Saccharomyces cerevisiae S288C: one gene and its partners. The gene in region 2 interacts genetically with the main gene of each other region. Each region holds a gene or a part of one and is shown on either strand. Other genes may lie near its edges.

Region 1 (4,577 bases), on a different chromosome or scaffold from region 2:
GTGCTTCAGTTTATTTATTATATGGTCGAAAACAGATTCCTGTACTTGATATGCAATTGACCGTATTTCGCGTTCTGGCAGTTCCTGGATTTCTGTTTTACCTAGTTTTGTCAAATTAGTTCTTAATGCTGTGATAAATGCTGAAAACGAAAACGAAAGCATGTTTCTTTTACTAGCGCTGTTTTTTAACGGACTGGGCATTTCTAGTTTTAAAGCAAAATCTTGGTCGTTAATATCTTGATTAATAAATTTCTCCATTTCTCTAGCGATCATTGTTCCCTTGAATCCAAGCTCTCTGCCACATTTATCTAATGAGTCACCCACTGCAATATCGATAGTATCACATAATATTTCGTGATCGTCAATTGCTCGTGACAAAACAAACGTAGTATGACCACCACTAACCAGCAGGCTAACAAAGGGAAATTGAGGCACTTTTCCATTTGTACCCATTCTTGGTATCAGCAAGTGTCCCAGCATGTGATGCACACCAATCAGTGGTTTGTTCCAGGCAACAGCTAAACCTTTTGCAAAATCTAATCCTCCTGATAATGAACCAGGCATACCAGGGCCTCTTGTAACACATATGAGATCAATTCCTTCTCTCGCATTGCTTTCTATCAGGGCTCTTTCGGTTAAGGGTCCTATCCGAGCTTGGTGATGGATATGAGCCTTTGTTGGTATAATACCTCCTTCGTCAATACTATCTAAAGTATCTTTCAAATTGGCTAGCACATTAGGAGCTGCACTTTTTGAGAACCTGTCCAAAACTGAAACGCATGTATCATCGCAAGAAGTCTCAATGGCTAAAACTTTATAGCCTTTTCTTAACTGTATTGGTCTGTTGAATGCACGCCTCTGCCAAATTCTATAGTTATCGAGGAGAAATCTTCCGGTTCCTTTTATTGATATCATAATGAAAAAAAAAGTTTCTATCCTTTCTTCTACTCTACTTATTTCAGAGCTTGAGAATCGCTGTTTGCTTTAATTTCATTGTCAATTAATCATCGCGCAATGAAGATGCCACTCTTTCCATTGGCAGAGCGGATCCGCCAAATAGAAATTACATAAAACAAGTAATTTAGCTATTTTTCAGAGTACGAAATATTTTATTATATATATTGAATCACAATTACGAGTACTTTTCAATTACATGTTAAAAGTGCTTCATAAGTAGCTCAAACAGTTATTTTTCTAATACTATACCACTTCTGTCAAAGACTTTACCTTTGAACTGGGATAGATTTTCACCTGCATAACTCAATTTGCTGGAAACTTCGACTAGTACCCCATCTTTTACAATAGCGCCTGCATCTTCCAACCACGAGGTTCCTAGTTTCAAATATGCTAGTCTGCTGGTCTCAGGATTATCGTTCTTAGAACCAGGACCGTTTTTTAAAGGTGAAAATTCTTTGCATCTATCTACTTCTAAGCACCCAAACTTGTTCAGTGGTACAGTGTCAAAGACATCAAATATGAATTGCTCTAATTTTATACCGTTTGGTTCGGTAGGCTTAGTGTACTTGCCGGTAACACTATCATAAGCTGGAATTTTCTTCTTCGCAATGTGATATGGCATATTCTCACACCACTGATCCAAATCACGTTTTAGTAAATCCACTAGGTAATAATGATTTACAATGTTGCCTGCGCGTAGTTTTAATAAGCCATCTTTATCCTTTGCTTCAGCCAATTCATTGGAAATTTCAGAATATTCTATGACACATGGTTTCTCGTTTTTAGTAGCAATTAACCCAACTGATTCATGCGCATCTCTCTTTCTAACGGCTTTGGTGGCCAGTTCGAAGCCATGCTTGATGGCAAAACCAATAAATACAGGGTCTGCGATTTTAGATAGGACATTATCGACACAGTACATGTAAACATGCTTGATTCCTCTCCTATCAAAGTCTTCGTTCAACTTGTTTTCCTTGATGGCACGGTAGAGTCCACCATTTCCATCTGGTGATTGAGATAGGTTTACTGGGTCTTTCATTAGGAAATGCTTCCCGGTTAAATCAAAGGCAGGCAGGGTTCCCTGGTTGAAGAACGTAATTTGTTCTTTATTCAAGCCAAAATAATTGTGTTCTTGAAAGTATGCCTCAGTAGCCGCTCTAGTGGGGCCTGATGTCATAATATACCAAGGAATTTCTACCTTTTTGTCCTTTACCATATCTTGCAACCTGATCAACTTTTCAGCTTGAATTTGAAAAAGAGATTTCTTAGAAGGCAATCCAATGTCGTAACAGCCCTTTGGTTGAGAGGATCCTAACCGCGTACCTTGTCCGCCAGCCATTAAAATCACTGCGACTTCACCCTTGCCAATAGCTTCAAGGCCTAAACGCCAGTATTCATTTTCTTTCTTACTGTTGCCAATAAGCGACTCGTACGAAGTAGGGGGCAATGGTGAAATTTCGACGCCAGTATCCTTAGAAGAGTTAGCTAGTGAGAATTTAATAGCATTTTGACAGTCTTCCAGTAGTTTTGCAGGGGACCTCTTGGAAGATATTTGCTCCAGGTTTGAAAGCAATTCTTCTTGGTCTTTGCGAGACAAGCTTTCCCAATTGTGGAAAAGTTGACTTTGTCCGGCTTCAATGAATAGCTGTTTTGTGTCAGTCATAGTTGCAGTTCGATCTGGTGTTCTCCTTTATATCTGCGTTTCTTTGCAGCGTTCTTGCTTGACGGTTGATCTTGGTTTTGTGTGGTAAAAGTATGCCTTAACGTAATAGGCAATTTTTCGTATTACGCGTAACTTTTTATTCTATAAAATGTTCAATGAGGACATCTGCTATTCGCTTATGAAGAACAAACACTCAGTACTACTGATCTAAGGCAATTTTCAAGGATAAAGGAAAATAGATATTGAGCACTTGCTATTAAGCATTAATCTTTATACATATACGCACAGCAATGAGTGAAAAAAGATCCCTTCCCATGGTTGATGTGAAGATCGATGACGAGGATACTCCCCAGTTGGAAAAGAAAATCAAACGGCAATCAATAGATCATGGTGTTGGAAGTGAACCTGTTTCAACAATAGAGATTATTCCGAGTGATTCTTTTCGAAAATATAATAGTCAAGGCTTCAAAGCAAAGGATACAGATTTAATGGGTACGCAATTAGAGTCTACTTTTGAACAAGAGCTATCGCAAATGGAACATGATATGGCCGACCAAGAAGAGCATGACCTGTCATCATTCGAGCGTAAGAAACTTCCAACCGATTTTGACCCAAGTTTGTATGATATTTCTTTCCAACAAATTGATGCGGAACAGAGCGTACTGAATGGTATCAAAGATGAAAATACATCTACCGTGGTAAGGTTTTTTGGTGTCACTAGTGAAGGACACTCTGTACTTTGTAATGTTACAGGGTTCAAGAACTATCTTTACGTCCCAGCGCCCAATTCTTCCGACGCTAACGATCAGGAGCAAATCAACAAGTTTGTGCACTATTTAAACGAAACATTTGACCACGCTATTGATTCGATTGAAGTTGTATCTAAACAGTCTATCTGGGGTTATTCCGGAGATACCAAATTACCATTCTGGAAAATATACGTCACCTATCCGCATATGGTCAACAAACTGCGTACTGCGTTTGAAAGAGGTCATCTTTCATTCAACTCGTGGTTTTCTAACGGCACGACTACTTATGATAACATTGCCTACACTTTAAGGTTAATGGTAGATTGTGGAATTGTCGGTATGTCCTGGATAACATTACCAAAAGGAAAGTATTCGATGATTGAGCCTAATAACAGAGTTTCCTCTTGTCAGTTGGAAGTTTCAATTAATTATCGTAACCTAATAGCACATCCTGCTGAGGGTGATTGGTCTCATACAGCTCCATTGCGTATCATGTCCTTTGATATCGAGTGTGCTGGTAGGATTGGCGTCTTTCCGGAACCTGAATACGATCCCGTCATCCAAATTGCCAACGTTGTGAGTATTGCTGGCGCTAAGAAACCATTCATTCGTAATGTGTTTACTCTGAATACATGCTCACCCATAACAGGTTCAATGATTTTTTCCCACGCCACTGAAGAGGAAATGTTGAGCAATTGGCGTAACTTTATCATCAAAGTTGATCCTGATGTTATCATTGGTTATAATACTACAAATTTTGATATCCCTTATCTTTTAAACCGTGCAAAGGCGCTAAAGGTGAATGATTTCCCATATTTTGGAAGGTTAAAAACCGTTAAGCAAGAAATTAAAGAGTCTGTGTTCTCTTCGAAGGCTTATGGTACAAGAGAAACCAAAAATGTCAATATTGACGGCCGATTACAGTTGGATCTTTTGCAATTTATTCAGCGTGAGTATAAACTAAGATCCTACACGTTGAATGCAGTCTCTGCGCACTTTTTAGGTGAACAGAAGGAGGATGTACATTATAGCATCATTTCTGATCTACAAAATGGCGATAGTGAAACAAGAAGAAGGTTGGCCGTTTACTGTTTGAAAGACGCCTACCTGCCTTTAAGGCTTATGGAAAAACTAATGGCGTTAGTTAACTATACAGAAATGGCTCGTGTTACAGGTGTGCCATTTTCATATTTACTAGCTCGTGGTCA
Region 2 (8,245 bases):
GTAACATCACTTGATATCGCACCCTTCTTTGCATTGCCTTGTGGTTACCGTACCACTCTTGCTTATGATTTTTTTTTCTTTTTGCGCGCGCTAGGCTGAAATGTAGAGGTTCAAGGTATGATAACAGCGGACAAAGGTATATGATGTCGCGCATTTGATGCCTTAAATACAATTTTTTTTTTTCCCTCCTCCGTCGAAAAAACGCTGTGAAGAATAAAAAAAAATTGTATTTTGTATTACCCGGATTTACTTTAGTCTCACATTGTATTGTTAGGGTTTTGCTACTTATGGTAAAACTGCCGCTAAAAAAATATTCATTTCTATCCTAATTGTATTTTTATTATGTAGAGCAAAGCTTGCGCGAAATTATTGGCTTTTTTTTTTTTTTAATTAATACTACCTTTTGATGTGAACGTTTACTAAAGTAGCACTATCTGTGGAATGGCTGTTGGAACTTTTTCCGATTAACAGCTTGTATTCCAAGTCCTGACATTCCAGTTGTAAGTTTTCCAACTTGTGATTCAATTGTTCAATCTCTTGGTTAAAATTCTCTTGTTCCATGAATAGGCTCTTTTTCCAGTCTCGAAATTTTGAAATTTCTCTGTTGGACAGCTCGTTGAATTTTTTCTTAGCTTCTAATTGTCTAGTTATAAATTCAGGATCCCATTCTGTAGCCACCTTATCCATGACCGTTTTATTAATTATTTCATAGCACTTGTAATTTTTGAGTTTGTTTTCCTCGATTTCATCGAAGTTCATTTCTTCCTCCAAAAATTTCCTTTGTTCTTCCGTTATGTCAACACTTTTCGTTGTTAAGCAATCTCTGGCCTTTAATAGCCTAGTTCTTAGCATTTCAGATCTGCATTTTTCATAATAATCCTCGGTACTTTCTACAAGATCAATTAAATTCCAATCAAAAATCGTCTTTTGCAAGATTTTGAAGTCACAGTACTTTTCATTTTCAATGTCAACAGCGCCCCATTTGTATTGTCTTCCTTTAACTTTTTCGCCCTTTTCATTAAAAATGTACTCATTAGATGCAATTATACTGAATGGATATTTTTGAAAAATATCTTGTGTTGCATTCAAAACTTCATCGCCGAAAAAGAAACATACAGGGATATCTTGTACTCTTATTATTTCTCTAACTTGTGTTTTGAAGTTTTTCAATTCCTCTTTCGTTAGCAAATCTGATTTAGCAATAACCGGGATTAAATTCACTCTCTTCGCTAATTTTTTCATTGTTACGACGTCTAAAGTATCAATTCCCTTATTTGAAGGTCTCAGAAAGTACAAACAACAATGGACTCTATTATCAACCATTTTTGTCCTATCAGGTTGTTCTTCTTGGAAAATGTACGATCTTATTTCTTCATCAATATAGTTAACCATTGTCCTCCACGTAAATGCATTATCCATATTGTTACCAAAACCAGGTGTATCGATGACGTTGAAATTAAGGTGTGTTCCATCTCCTTCTACAATGCTTTTATAACGAATAATAGGTTTGTTTTCTTTGATGTCATCATCAATTAAAGAAGTAGAAAATAAGGAATTGATAAACGTGGTTTTACCCAATCCACTTTGACCCGCCACCATCAGCGTAAAATCAATTCCATTTTTGGCATTCAACAACTCACGTTGACGTGGTAAGTTTTTGATACCGATGTCTTGGCCGTGTGAATTGGTGTTTATTTCTTGTGCTTTCTTGTTATCTAACAATGGAAGGTCCCTGTTCCTGCATTTACCGTTAACAAAAGAGGATGACCTCTGTCTTCTGTGTTTCAGTTCAGGGCTTTTCGGAGGATGTGAATCGACGGCGTACTGTCCTTGGGAACTTTGTCTACGTATTTTCACTTCCTCAGCGAATCCAGAGACTATCTTGGGAAATTCGACAGGACAGTCTGTTGACAACCGACTCCCTTTTGACTTCATAATAAAAATTCAATGACGCAAAAGGAATTTTAGGTTTTTATTATTTATTTATTTATTTCTGTTAATTGATCCTTTTCTTTCCACTACCAACAACAAAAAAGGGGGGAAAAAGATGTATAATCTAAAAGACACTAATCTGCTCTTGATATCCTTATTATGTAATGGAATAACTCATATAAATGTAAAATAGAACTTCAAATTAATATTATAATGATAGTCGAGGTCAGACACACTTATAATACATTAAGTAAAGAAAAAAAAATGTCTGTCATCGAGGTCTCTTTTGTGTCGCTAACAAAACATCACTAAATACGAAGACACTTTGCATGGGAAGGATGCAGCAAATGGCAAACTAACGGGCCATTGATTGGTTTACCTCTTCTATTTGTATTACGACCAGAAAGAACGAATGGTTTTCATCAATGAGGTAGGAAACGACCTAAATATAATGTAGCATCGATAAAATCTTTGTACTGTATGGTTGCAATGCCTTCTTGATTAGTATCGAATTTCCTGAATAATTTTGTTAATCTCATTAGCCAAACTAACGCCTCAACGAATTTATCAAACTTTAGTTCTTTTCCTGTTCCATTTCTGTTTATAAACTCAGCATATTGGTCAAATGTTTTCTCGCTAACTTCAAAAGGTATTAGATATCCTAGTTCTTGAAGTGAGTTATGAAATTCGCTTACAGAAATGGTGAGCGATCCGTTGATATCATTGTCCACATAAACTTTTCTCCAACTTTTCACTCTTTTGTATAGGGCGATGAATTCTGCCTGGTTGACAGTGCCAAACCTGGAAGCACCAAATAAATTTATCAGCGCATCTACTGATGATATACAAAAATGGGAGTTGTCGTCGTTTTGTAGTAAGTTCTGTAGTTCCTCAGCTGTCAGTCGGTTTTTGCCCTTTACATCATGGTTATGAAATAGCTGTGTGGCCACTTGCATGTCTCGTACATCTTCTCTGCTATCGAACGAAGCAGGTGCAACTTTCTTCAAGAGTTGTGCAGGCACTGCTTGATTGTGAATTAGGGGAGGAGGAGAGGAAGCTATCCGTTGAGCGGAAGTGTTCAAGTTGTTATAATGGGTTGGCGCTGGAGGTATAGGCCTGCCTGCTGGTTTCTGTGCGATAACATTATATCTAGGATCCACAGGTGTTTTCGTATGTCTTGGAGAATAACTTTGGGGAGAACCATAGGAGTGGTGACCGTTTTCTGCTCTGTTTTTGTTATATTGAGTTTGTAAGGGAATTGGAGCTGAGTGGACTCTAGTGTTGGGAGTTTGTGCTTGAGTAACCTTTATTTGTTGCTGTCGTTGTTTCTCTTTCTCGAATTCACGTCTAGTTTCCTCCATGGCCTCTTTAGGTGTAGCATAGCGTACAAAGTCATCGCCAGCAGCGTATTTGAGCTTCTTTGCACACATCGTTTAATGGTGTAGGTTTATAGTTATTTTATGCGGTATACGGTATACATACATGTTCAGTGAAATAGCAATTCCCATCGCTTTGTATTCCTGCGGTTTTTTTATTCGGATAGTTTCTAAATAAAAAAAATCGACAAGACCCTGAGCCAGATGACTGAAATTATCAGTTGTTAAAAGCGATGGAGCACTATCCAATATGCGTATTGTTTTCTTCTTCTGAGTTATGTATATAATGGTGAACTACAAGATTATATAGATTCAGGTGCAAGGTATTGAGCATGACACATGCTGTGTGTATCGTGGCCTATTCACTGTGGCCTATTTCATTCCACTTCCACTGAATATCATTTCAAATGTATTAAAAGACTTTTGAAAGTAACACTGATAGTATGTTGTAGTTGTTCTTGGAAATGTTGAACCAAACCGATTGTTCATTCGCCAAGTTCGAAGATGCCGTTTTCGTACTTGCCAGAAAAAACACGCTTGAAAAAGAAAATCTTGAGTAAAAAGAAAAGGGCTTAGGAATCTTCTATTCGATGACCATCAAACGATAAATGAAGCAATAAAGTCCAACTAACTAGCACCTCCATAAAATAAGTTAGCGTTTAAATGGTTGATGAAATAGATGCATAGAATGTCCTCGACAGTGATTTCATTGGCTCATTTCTGCGACAAGCATGGCCCAAGGATCATATCAGTTACACAATCCGCAGAAAAGGGAACGCTAGGTGAAGAATTACTAGTGCCTGATTATCCAACTGAATCATATTGCGAATCATGTCTTTTACAGTTTCCTGAAGAGTCAACTAGATCGATGCGGTGCTTCATCGAAGATGTTCCGTTTATAACTACCCAATATTCTTCTATAAGATACCAATTGCTAAATTCTATTATTAAAAGAGCCTTTTCTGAAGAAACAATGATTTATGATAATATGCCTTTTATATTTTTTGATGATCTTAGAGGATTGAACTTAGTTATAGGCTTTAAACTGTATGATGAAAATGCTAGAGGCAATGAAAGAAGATATTGTTTTATTTTAACAGTCGATTCCAGAAGCCATGACGATTCTATGAAAATGTTGAGTGAACACTGGAACTTTATCATCGGTGGATTTGATAAAATGATTGCATATATTAAAAACATTCATAAAAGCGAATTCTTGGGGAAAAATAAAACGGTGGAAAACAATTTGGAAACATTGAATAATAACGCTTTCATTGGCTCATATTTACGTGCAAACAAATCTAAATTCGGCCGTAATTTGGTGTCTCTGACGGATGATAAATTTCTCTTCGTGCGAATACATAAATGGAATTCATTTTTACTCCATACAGTAATGAATGAAAATAAATTACCTTGACTCAAATAAACTGAGATAAATGCTGGTAACCTAATAACCGATGAAATTACGGCATGGAAAATTGTTGGAACAACCTCCTAGTTCCTTTTATTCTTTCATTTCGATTCGAAATAGTCATCAAGGCCGAATACTTTACTCCGACGTGGCTTCTGGGATGAATTTAAAAAGGAAAGCCATTCTGGACCGCGATAGATAAATAGTAAGCTAGGTTTACAATTGTGCGTTTTGAAAGGCAACAAAACGATTGAGGTCTATCGTATGAATAACAAAATATATATGGTATATGCATGAACATATATAGATACATGTGGTGAATTTATCATGGTCATAATTTATTAAATTCTCGTAATCTGAATGCAAGGTATTCAGCGGAAGAATTTAAGCCAAAAGCAGACGTGGTCGGGATATCTTCAATTTCGTGCTCGTCTTCTGTATCTTCGTTTTCGTCTTCACTCTCCTCCGCCGTATCGCATTCTTTCCCATCGTTATCACCGCTTGCAATTGTGCTTAAATCCATGAAATTAGAAGAGTTATTCGAGGATGGGCTTAGATTTAAATCCATATCTAAATTCAAGCTCGGCGGAGGATTAAAAATATTAGCAATCATATCTTCGCTGAAGTCATTTGGTGGTTCCATAACATCTTCTTCAATGTCTTCGTAATCCAGTTTTCTCCTTTTGTTTTTACAGAACCATCTATTCAAAGGTACCCGTACTAAATCATTTCCGGAATCAATAACTCTCTCTGTGATTTTTACACCGGGCCCTTTGAACCATATTATTTGCTCATTTGCAGTATTTATGTCATTAATAGCAGTATTACCGAGATTTTGAGCGTTTTTTAGATTTGATCTACTGAAACGTTCTGTCGATTGGATGGTTCTTATATTTTTTTCCATTGGTACAGGAACCACAAATGCACCCGGGGCTTCAATAACAATATGGTTGAAGTTGTACTTCGAGGTATGAGCAGTTAAGGTATTAATCATTGAGGATAATGTAAAACTTTTAGATGCAGGCTTTTTGGGAGCTGTTGATGATAGCTGTGTCTGTTTTTTTGCACTATGGTATTTAGAGCGACTACTCTGTTCTAATAAAGAGGGCGATTGAAACTTAGGAACGGAAGGATGTGATAGTAAATTATGAGAACTATTATTCATGTTTTCTAATTTCAAAAAATTGGAAGTCTGATTGAAGTTCTGATGCAATAGTGGAGTATTTGATGAGGACCTGAAATTGGAGCTGGGAATTGATTTAGTCTGCTTTAAAGTGGGTAAACGTATTGTGGAGGAACTGTTCACTCTGGGCATACTGCTTGTGGTTAAGGTATCTGTAATTATTGTTCCTGTTTCGTAATCTATTTTACCTTCTTCTGGTGGATCATTTGGTCTGATTATGTATCGAGGGCAGTCATCAGAAGTTGAATACTCTCCCAGATCATCCCTCTCTAATTTGGGGCCTAAATATACAGCGCCTACCAAAGGTGGGGCAGTTGGGGCTCCCTCCGTGGGTTCTGGAACTTTGTCATTTAGAGTTGCGTTTGCTGGTAACAAATCTGCTATTGGAGAAGGGTATTTAAAAAATTTTCTTCCATTAACAGGTATCGTAGGCTCATCTTGGTCACGGAGTTCTTCCGGCAGGCAAGCTTTCCAAGTCCTGATTTTGTTGAAAACCTTATCACTTTCATTATAACGGAATTCGCAAACAAATTGAGGACCATTGACTTTCGTGCTAGGATCCCCACGCTGGAATCTGGTAAAATGAATAACGTAGCACTTTCCCTTAATATCCTGAATAGGATGATCTCTATATTGACCAGTTTTCATGACCTCATTCTTGTAGAATAACCTATCCACCCGATGAACGGTTTGTTCTGGCCTAAAATACCAGCAAGCATTCAACCATTTGTTTCCATCTGTAGTAGACCATAATCTAAAAATCTGGCCAACAATGGGTTTATTGATGTCGTTTGGATTATGTAAAAGAACCCAATCACCTATCTGGTATTTCTCATCATTGATTTCTACATCATCTAGAGGATATCTTAATTCACCTTCAGGTAAATAGTCTTCATCAGGTTTGGATAATTCAATTCGCACTAATCTATTGAAGTTTTTCTCCAATAGTTGAGCTCGTATTATATTGCTCTGATCTTGAGAATAATAAAGCTTAAAATTTGTTAGCATTAATTGAAAGTCTTCCTCAAAAGTATGGAAATTTCTATATTTTCTGGACTTAACCTTTTTCCTAATATCCATTAGACAAATGGGATCTGTTATGACAGAGTAATAGGTTGGCTCCTCGTTTCTATCTGGTAGTTTTTCAAAACAGAGGGTAAGCGTCTTATTATTTTGGTCGACCTCTCTTCTCATCATCTTCAAGATATTCTTAATCCTCAGTACATAGGGTAGATCAATTACTGGTGGTCTACCGCGTCTAACATGGGTTTTGGGATGCGCCGAGGTAATATTTGCATAGTTAACAACTGGAGTAGGTGAAGCCAGCGGCTGCGGTGTTATAGAAGCAGAATGGGTTGGAAACGCTGGTGAGTTTTTTTGTTGCATCCTGTAATCTTGGTTGGTTGGTTTCCTTTCAGTGATCGAACTATCTAGTTTTGCGAAAGCCATTTTCATCTCTGGATTTAAGCCAGCCTTTTCATCATTTTCCTGTGTATTAATGGGGTTCGAGGATAAATCGGAGGGTTGCATACTCTCTGCGAATATTTCCGGAATTCGACCTAGAGATGGATATGTCACCTCGGGATAATGTTTTCTTATATTGTGCACGATCTTTCCTTTAATAAAAGACTCAAGAAGAATGGCATATTTGTAAATTACTGAATCTTTTGCATTGTATGTCATTGCATTCCAAGGAATTTGCGCAAAATCGTTAACAAAATCTTGTGGCGATGTATAATGGGGCAATCGTTTCTTTAAAGTGTTTAAAGATATCGGATTCCTTATTATAATGTAATAGTCTGGATATTCTTTTTTAGGTGGCAGTACATTGAATATTGGATATATTTCTATACCATTTTCATCCTTTAAATGGAAGACAGCATCGTATTGTGTTTTGAGTAGCTTCTGTAAAAACCCATTATCTTGCTCCACCATGCTTGAAATATAATTTTTTTTATCTCTGTTTTGTAGCTAGGGCACTTCACAGATTTTCCCTTCGCTAATACCACACTGTTCCGCCAACTCAGCTTAATTTCAGTTGTAACTCAATTGGGCCTTTGATTAATAAAAAAAAAAGCTTTCCCGAGACAACAATCACTATTGACGGAAAGAGGGTAAGGGAGCAATAAAGAACTATATAAAACGTTAGACAAACGATTTTATAGAGCGCTTATCTGTGTTTATAGCGTTGCTGATAGATTTAGTTAATTCCAATTTGAATCTATCTCATCAGCAATTCATGATATTGCTTTTTCTTAGTATGCTATTTTGATTTCGCGCAATAGTAGGTATAAAAATTGAAAAAATACGAAACGGAATAGCATCTTAAACTATTAAATGGCA
Region 3 (4,694 bases), on a different chromosome or scaffold from region 2:
CAATTTGCCGTAGTGGATATAACAAATGGAAGAAATATAATAATTGAGGAAATAGAAGCATCCAGGACTAGTTTTACTTTATATGATGGCGGTATATTCATTCACCAAGGCTATCCCTACCTTGTGAAGGAGTTTAATCCTGATGAAAGATATGCTAAAGTGCAAAGAGTAGATGTTGACTGGGTAACCAACCAAAGAGACTTTACAGATGTAGATCCACAGGAAATTGAACTTATACGCTCTTTAAGGAATAGTGATGTTCCTGTTTACTTTGGTAAGATCAAGACTACAATTATTGTATTTGGCTTTTTTAAAGTAGACAAGTACAAGAGGATCATCGATGCCATCGAAACCCATAACCCTCCTGTAATAATCAATTCTAAAGGATTATGGATAGATATGCCAAAATATGCCTTAGAAATTTGCCAAAAGAAGCAATTAAATGTAGCAGGAGCTATTCACGGGGCGCAACATGCAATTATGGGTATGTTACCGCGATTTATAGTGGCGGGTGTGGATGAAATACAAACTGAATGCAAAGCTCCGGAAAAGGAATTTGCAGAACGTCAAACTAAACGAAAGCGACCAGCTAGATTAATATTCTATGATTCCAAGGGCGGTAAGTACGGGTCTGGCTTGTGTGTTAAAGCGTTTGAGCATATTGATGATATTATAGAGTCTAGTTTAAGAAGAATAGAAGAATGCCCATGCAGCGATGGATGTCCTGACTGTGTAGCGGCTTCTTTTTGTAAGGAAAACAGCCTGGTCCTGTCGAAACCTGGCGCCCAAGTCGTTTTGCATTGTATTCTAGGTCACTCGGAAGATAGTTTTATAGATCTTATCAAAGATGGTCCAGAGCCAAATATGCCAGAGATAAAAGTAGAGACTGTTATTCCTGTGTCAGAGCATGTCAACTTTTCAGATGATTTTAAGATTATTGACGTTAGAAGAGCTACGAAAGACGATACTCATACAAATGAAATCATTAAAAAAGAGATATGAGCACGCTATTTGTAGTTTGTAAACCGAATATAAATACTCTATTCTACTACTTGTAGATTCACTTGGTGGAAAGAAGTTACATCAACATTCTGTCACCTTGTTGATGCACAGAAAAAAAGACACTTTATTATTGTTGAATAACATTGTCTGTGGTATATATATATATACTATGATATTACAGTTTTTAAGACATTAATGTATTAACAGCCCATTTTACGCTTAATGTCCTCAAATCGGTATAGGTTTGTCCCACGCCAACGAATAAGATAGGAATCCCCGTAGCATAAACCATATTTACCATAGTACCCAGCATTTCACCAACTGTGTCACACTTGGAGATAATAAAGAAGTCAAGATTTCTTCCCTTTCCGAAGGCATCATTAAAATTTTTGGCTTGCTGGACAGAATCAGTACCTACTAAAGCCTCTCCAACCATAATGATTTTATCTGGCTTGGCTTGGTCAGCGAAAGACTTCAATGGCGACATTAAAGTAGGATCATTATGCCTTCTCCCGGCAGTATCCATTAACACTATATCGAAGTTTTGATCACGAGAATATTTGATGGCTTGCTTTGCAATTTTGGTTACCAAGTCAGATCCACCATAACCAGCTTCAAATAGTTCAACGTAGTCATTACCAGTTTTACCCCTTTTGTTCTTGGAGCCACGAACGTGTGAATCATCCATTAGCTGTGCCAAATTTTCAACATGGACCCTTAGTTGCTCAACTGCACCAGACCTAAACGTATCACAAGCAACAATTAAGACCTTGAAATTATTTTGCAGTAACCAAAACGCTAGCTTTGAAAGATTTGTTGACTTACCAACACCATTAACACCAACTATAGAGAACACATAGGGATCACATTTACCTTCTTCATCCTTTTTGCTTCTTTTGCTCTGAATTTCACGGAGGAGATCAACGGATACACCAGGCGTTAATATTTGAGTTAATGCTTTTGTTAAAGATTCACGAGCAGTATTCTCAACACTGGTCCAATTTGCAGTTTTTGAGCCTACAAGATCATGTGAGACTTGCTGTGTTAAATAGTCTGCTGCCTCTGGTGCTACATTTTTGGTTATCAATTGTTGTGTTAACTTCTCTAATACAGATTTCAAATCACTTTCATTGATCGTTTTGTTACCTAGAACGTGTTTTTGAAGGAATCCAAAAGCTGTACTGACGTATCCAGAATTTTTAGCTTCGTTCCCACTAGTTATCTCGTCTTTATGAGAAGACAAAAGATCATCAATTTCTTTGATTAAGAAATCGCCTCCTTCTGTTCTATCCCCAAAAGAATCTTTATTAATAGTGGAGTCTAGAGCTACTTGGCTACTATTGTGGCTGTTGGATGATGAGAAATCTAATTTGGCTGCATCTTCATGATTCATTTCATCAAGCATGCCACCATCACGGCCCCACTTTCTCCCACTACCAACATTTCCTGTAGATTGCTTCTTACCTTTTGTATCCCTCAATTTTTTCTTGGTATTTTTATTATGCGATTGGGGTACTGATCCATTTTTGGTAAAATTATCTGGATTGATATGGTCTTGTTTTATTGACTCTTCATATTTTATCCTAAAATATTGCTCAAATTTCTTCAGGTCGTCTTCAATTCCCTGAAGAATATCGACGTAGTTATGCTTGTTCTTTTCGTTTTGGCCCTGACGATTTTTTAGAATGGATTCACTTAAATGCAATGAGTTCCAGAGTTTTAACACCAGTGCAAGTGTTTGTTGAGTTTCTTGATTAAGCTCTAAAGTCTGCTCGGCAAAAGTCACTACGAAATACAATTCTGGTTGCTTATTCAAATAAAATAGTGCATTAAATGAAGGAGAATTTTTGTGTTCGCTGTTGATTGTTAAAAGATTGAAATCAAATCCGTCTGTATTTGCGTTTGCAACACTTTCTTTTCTAGTTACTGGGGAAGTAATCAGCTGGGATATAAAGCTGTTAATTTGTATTTCAGAAAACTTTTTTCCTAAACAGTTATATTGGTAAAGTACTTGACCTTGAGGGGTAAAGACTGCTAATTGGTCGAACATAATCAATGCACTTATTGAACCGTGAATCTCCTATTGAAAAAAACTACTTGATGAAGTAGCTGAATATTATTCAAACTGTGAGAATACCACAAATCTTTGGCTACAGATTAAACGCTGACGAAAAATTGGTTTATTTATTTCTATCTACTTATTGTACGACCTCAAATGTTTACGCAGTAGTTTCTGAAGTACGAGCAAAATTGCTCGACGATGATTTCGTTATTGTTTCCGGAAAAATTACCCAGCGCATAAAAAGTAAGCTTTCAGTACTTCTCTTTGATGATATTTGTACAGCAAAAGGGTATTTAGTAACGGAATAAATTTAATATATAAGAGTATAAATAACAAAAGACAATATAAATTGAAAAGTTGTAAATATTGAAAAGAAGGCTGCATTATTGTTTTATGTATTTTTGGGAAAAAATATATGACTTAACGAGGTCGAATAAAAAAATTTGGATGATGCCTTACCGGAACGTGGATTAAAAGGAGAAGTACAAAATTCATGCAGTTGTTAATGTTCGCAGGAAATAAAAACAAAGGGAAGGGATACTGAGGGGTGAAGCACAATCCAAAGAACGAAAGTGAAAAACAAGAAAAACAGCAATGACGATATTGGTAGAAGAGATTATACCCTCTTCATGAATGGATTTAATGCACGGACGGTTAAACATGGCAAAGCCATCCCCACCTCAGCTCTCAATAGAATAGGAATCTTTTGCAATTCATGTATTTCTTGTATATAGTTATCATTTTCAATTCTGGTTTCAGTAGTAGAAATGAATTTTTCTAAAGCATTTTGCTTGTTGTCGCTTGCAGATGGTAGCCTTAAATTTGGTACTGTTAGATGCAAATCGCTGAGTTCCTTACTCAATGGATCGCTGATCAATGGTTCAGATTCCGCTTCTTTATCTAGTTCAATATTCGCAATCTCAGCGGCTGTGGATCTGAATTTGTTCTTAATGGAATTTCTATAGGATTTTGGATTTTTTTCATCTGCTGGTATAAAAGTTGCACTATCTACGCCGGGCTGCCAATGCAATTCCAAGACACGATTGGTACCATCAAACTCAGCTTTGATCAAAGGTAGTTGATCTCCATGAACTCTCTTTTCAATACCAAATTCTGGAATAAATACATCAAAGGAGGACTCGTAAACTTGTAAGACAGTAGCCATTGTTAATAATTGTCCTGTAGTATTTCCCATGTCGTTGATTGTTTTACACAACAATAGATGAATTGCTTGTTCCTGTGCTTGATAAGCACAGTCCTTTTTAAAATTACAATATTCGGAGGTAATCTTCAAAGCTTCCATATCTTCGGTGTATGGAGTATCGTGGATAACGGCCTTTAATTGCCTATGAACGACATGATCAGCGTATCTTCTCATTGGCGCTGTGAAATGTGTGTAGATAGGTAGGTTCAAGGCATAATGCCCATATTGGTCCGGGTCTACTTTGCCAGCAATAAAGTATCTAGCTCTTGGCATGGTTTTAAACAGTAAAATTTCAATTCCGACTCTAACATCGTCATCTTTAATTTTTAGCACCCCTTTGATTAATTCATCCGCCGTATTGGTATCAAAATTGTAACCAAAATTTTGAATTTTCTTTCTAAATGACGCCATCTTGGTTGCAATGGG

The links. A genetic interaction does not mean that the proteins touch.
Region 1: mutations in PEF1 (region 2) and QRI1 together harm fitness more than expected from each alone (negative genetic interaction), as found in Saccharomyces cerevisiae (2 studies listed by BioGRID).
Region 3: mutations in PEF1 (region 2) and SRP101 together harm fitness more than expected from each alone (negative genetic interaction), as found in Saccharomyces cerevisiae (2 studies listed by BioGRID).

What each region holds. Positions count from the first base shown.
Region 1 is NC_001136.10:273,962-278,538, forward strand, and holds QRI1 (UDP-N-acetylglucosamine diphosphorylase), read right to left. Parts: upstream 2,621-4,577; coding exon 1,187-2,620; downstream 1-1,186. Other genes in the region: QRI7 (putative N(6)-L-threonylcarbamoyladenine synthase), read right to left, coding at 1-915; DNA-directed DNA polymerase delta POL3, read left to right, coding at 2,911-4,577. UniProt on the Saccharomyces cerevisiae protein: UDP-N-acetylglucosamine pyrophosphorylase that utilizes N-acetylglucosamine-1-phosphate as substrate. Together with AGM1, is involved in the production of UDP-N-acetylglucosamine from N-acetylglucosamine-6-phosphate.
Region 2 is NC_001139.9:601,253-609,497, reverse strand, and holds PEF1 (Pef1p), read right to left. Parts: upstream 3,363-8,245; coding exon 2,355-3,362; downstream 1-2,354. Other genes in the region: septin SPR3, read right to left, coding at 397-1,935; LST7 (Lst7p), read left to right, coding at 3,997-4,725; RSC subunit protein RSC1, read right to left, coding at 5,051-7,837. UniProt on the Saccharomyces cerevisiae protein: Calcium-binding protein that is required for polar bud growth and cell wall abscission. Can also bind zinc ions.
Region 3 is NC_001136.10:1,041,960-1,046,653, forward strand, and holds SRP101 (signal recognition particle receptor subunit alpha), read right to left. Parts: upstream 3,053-4,694; coding exon 1,187-3,052; downstream 1-1,186. Other genes in the region: HRQ1 (ATP-dependent 3'-5' DNA helicase), read left to right, coding at 1-1,002; mRNA-binding translational repressor SSD1, read right to left, coding at 3,681-4,694. UniProt on the Saccharomyces cerevisiae protein: Component of the SRP (signal recognition particle) receptor (SR). Ensures, in conjunction with the signal recognition particle, the correct targeting of the nascent secretory proteins to the endoplasmic reticulum membrane system.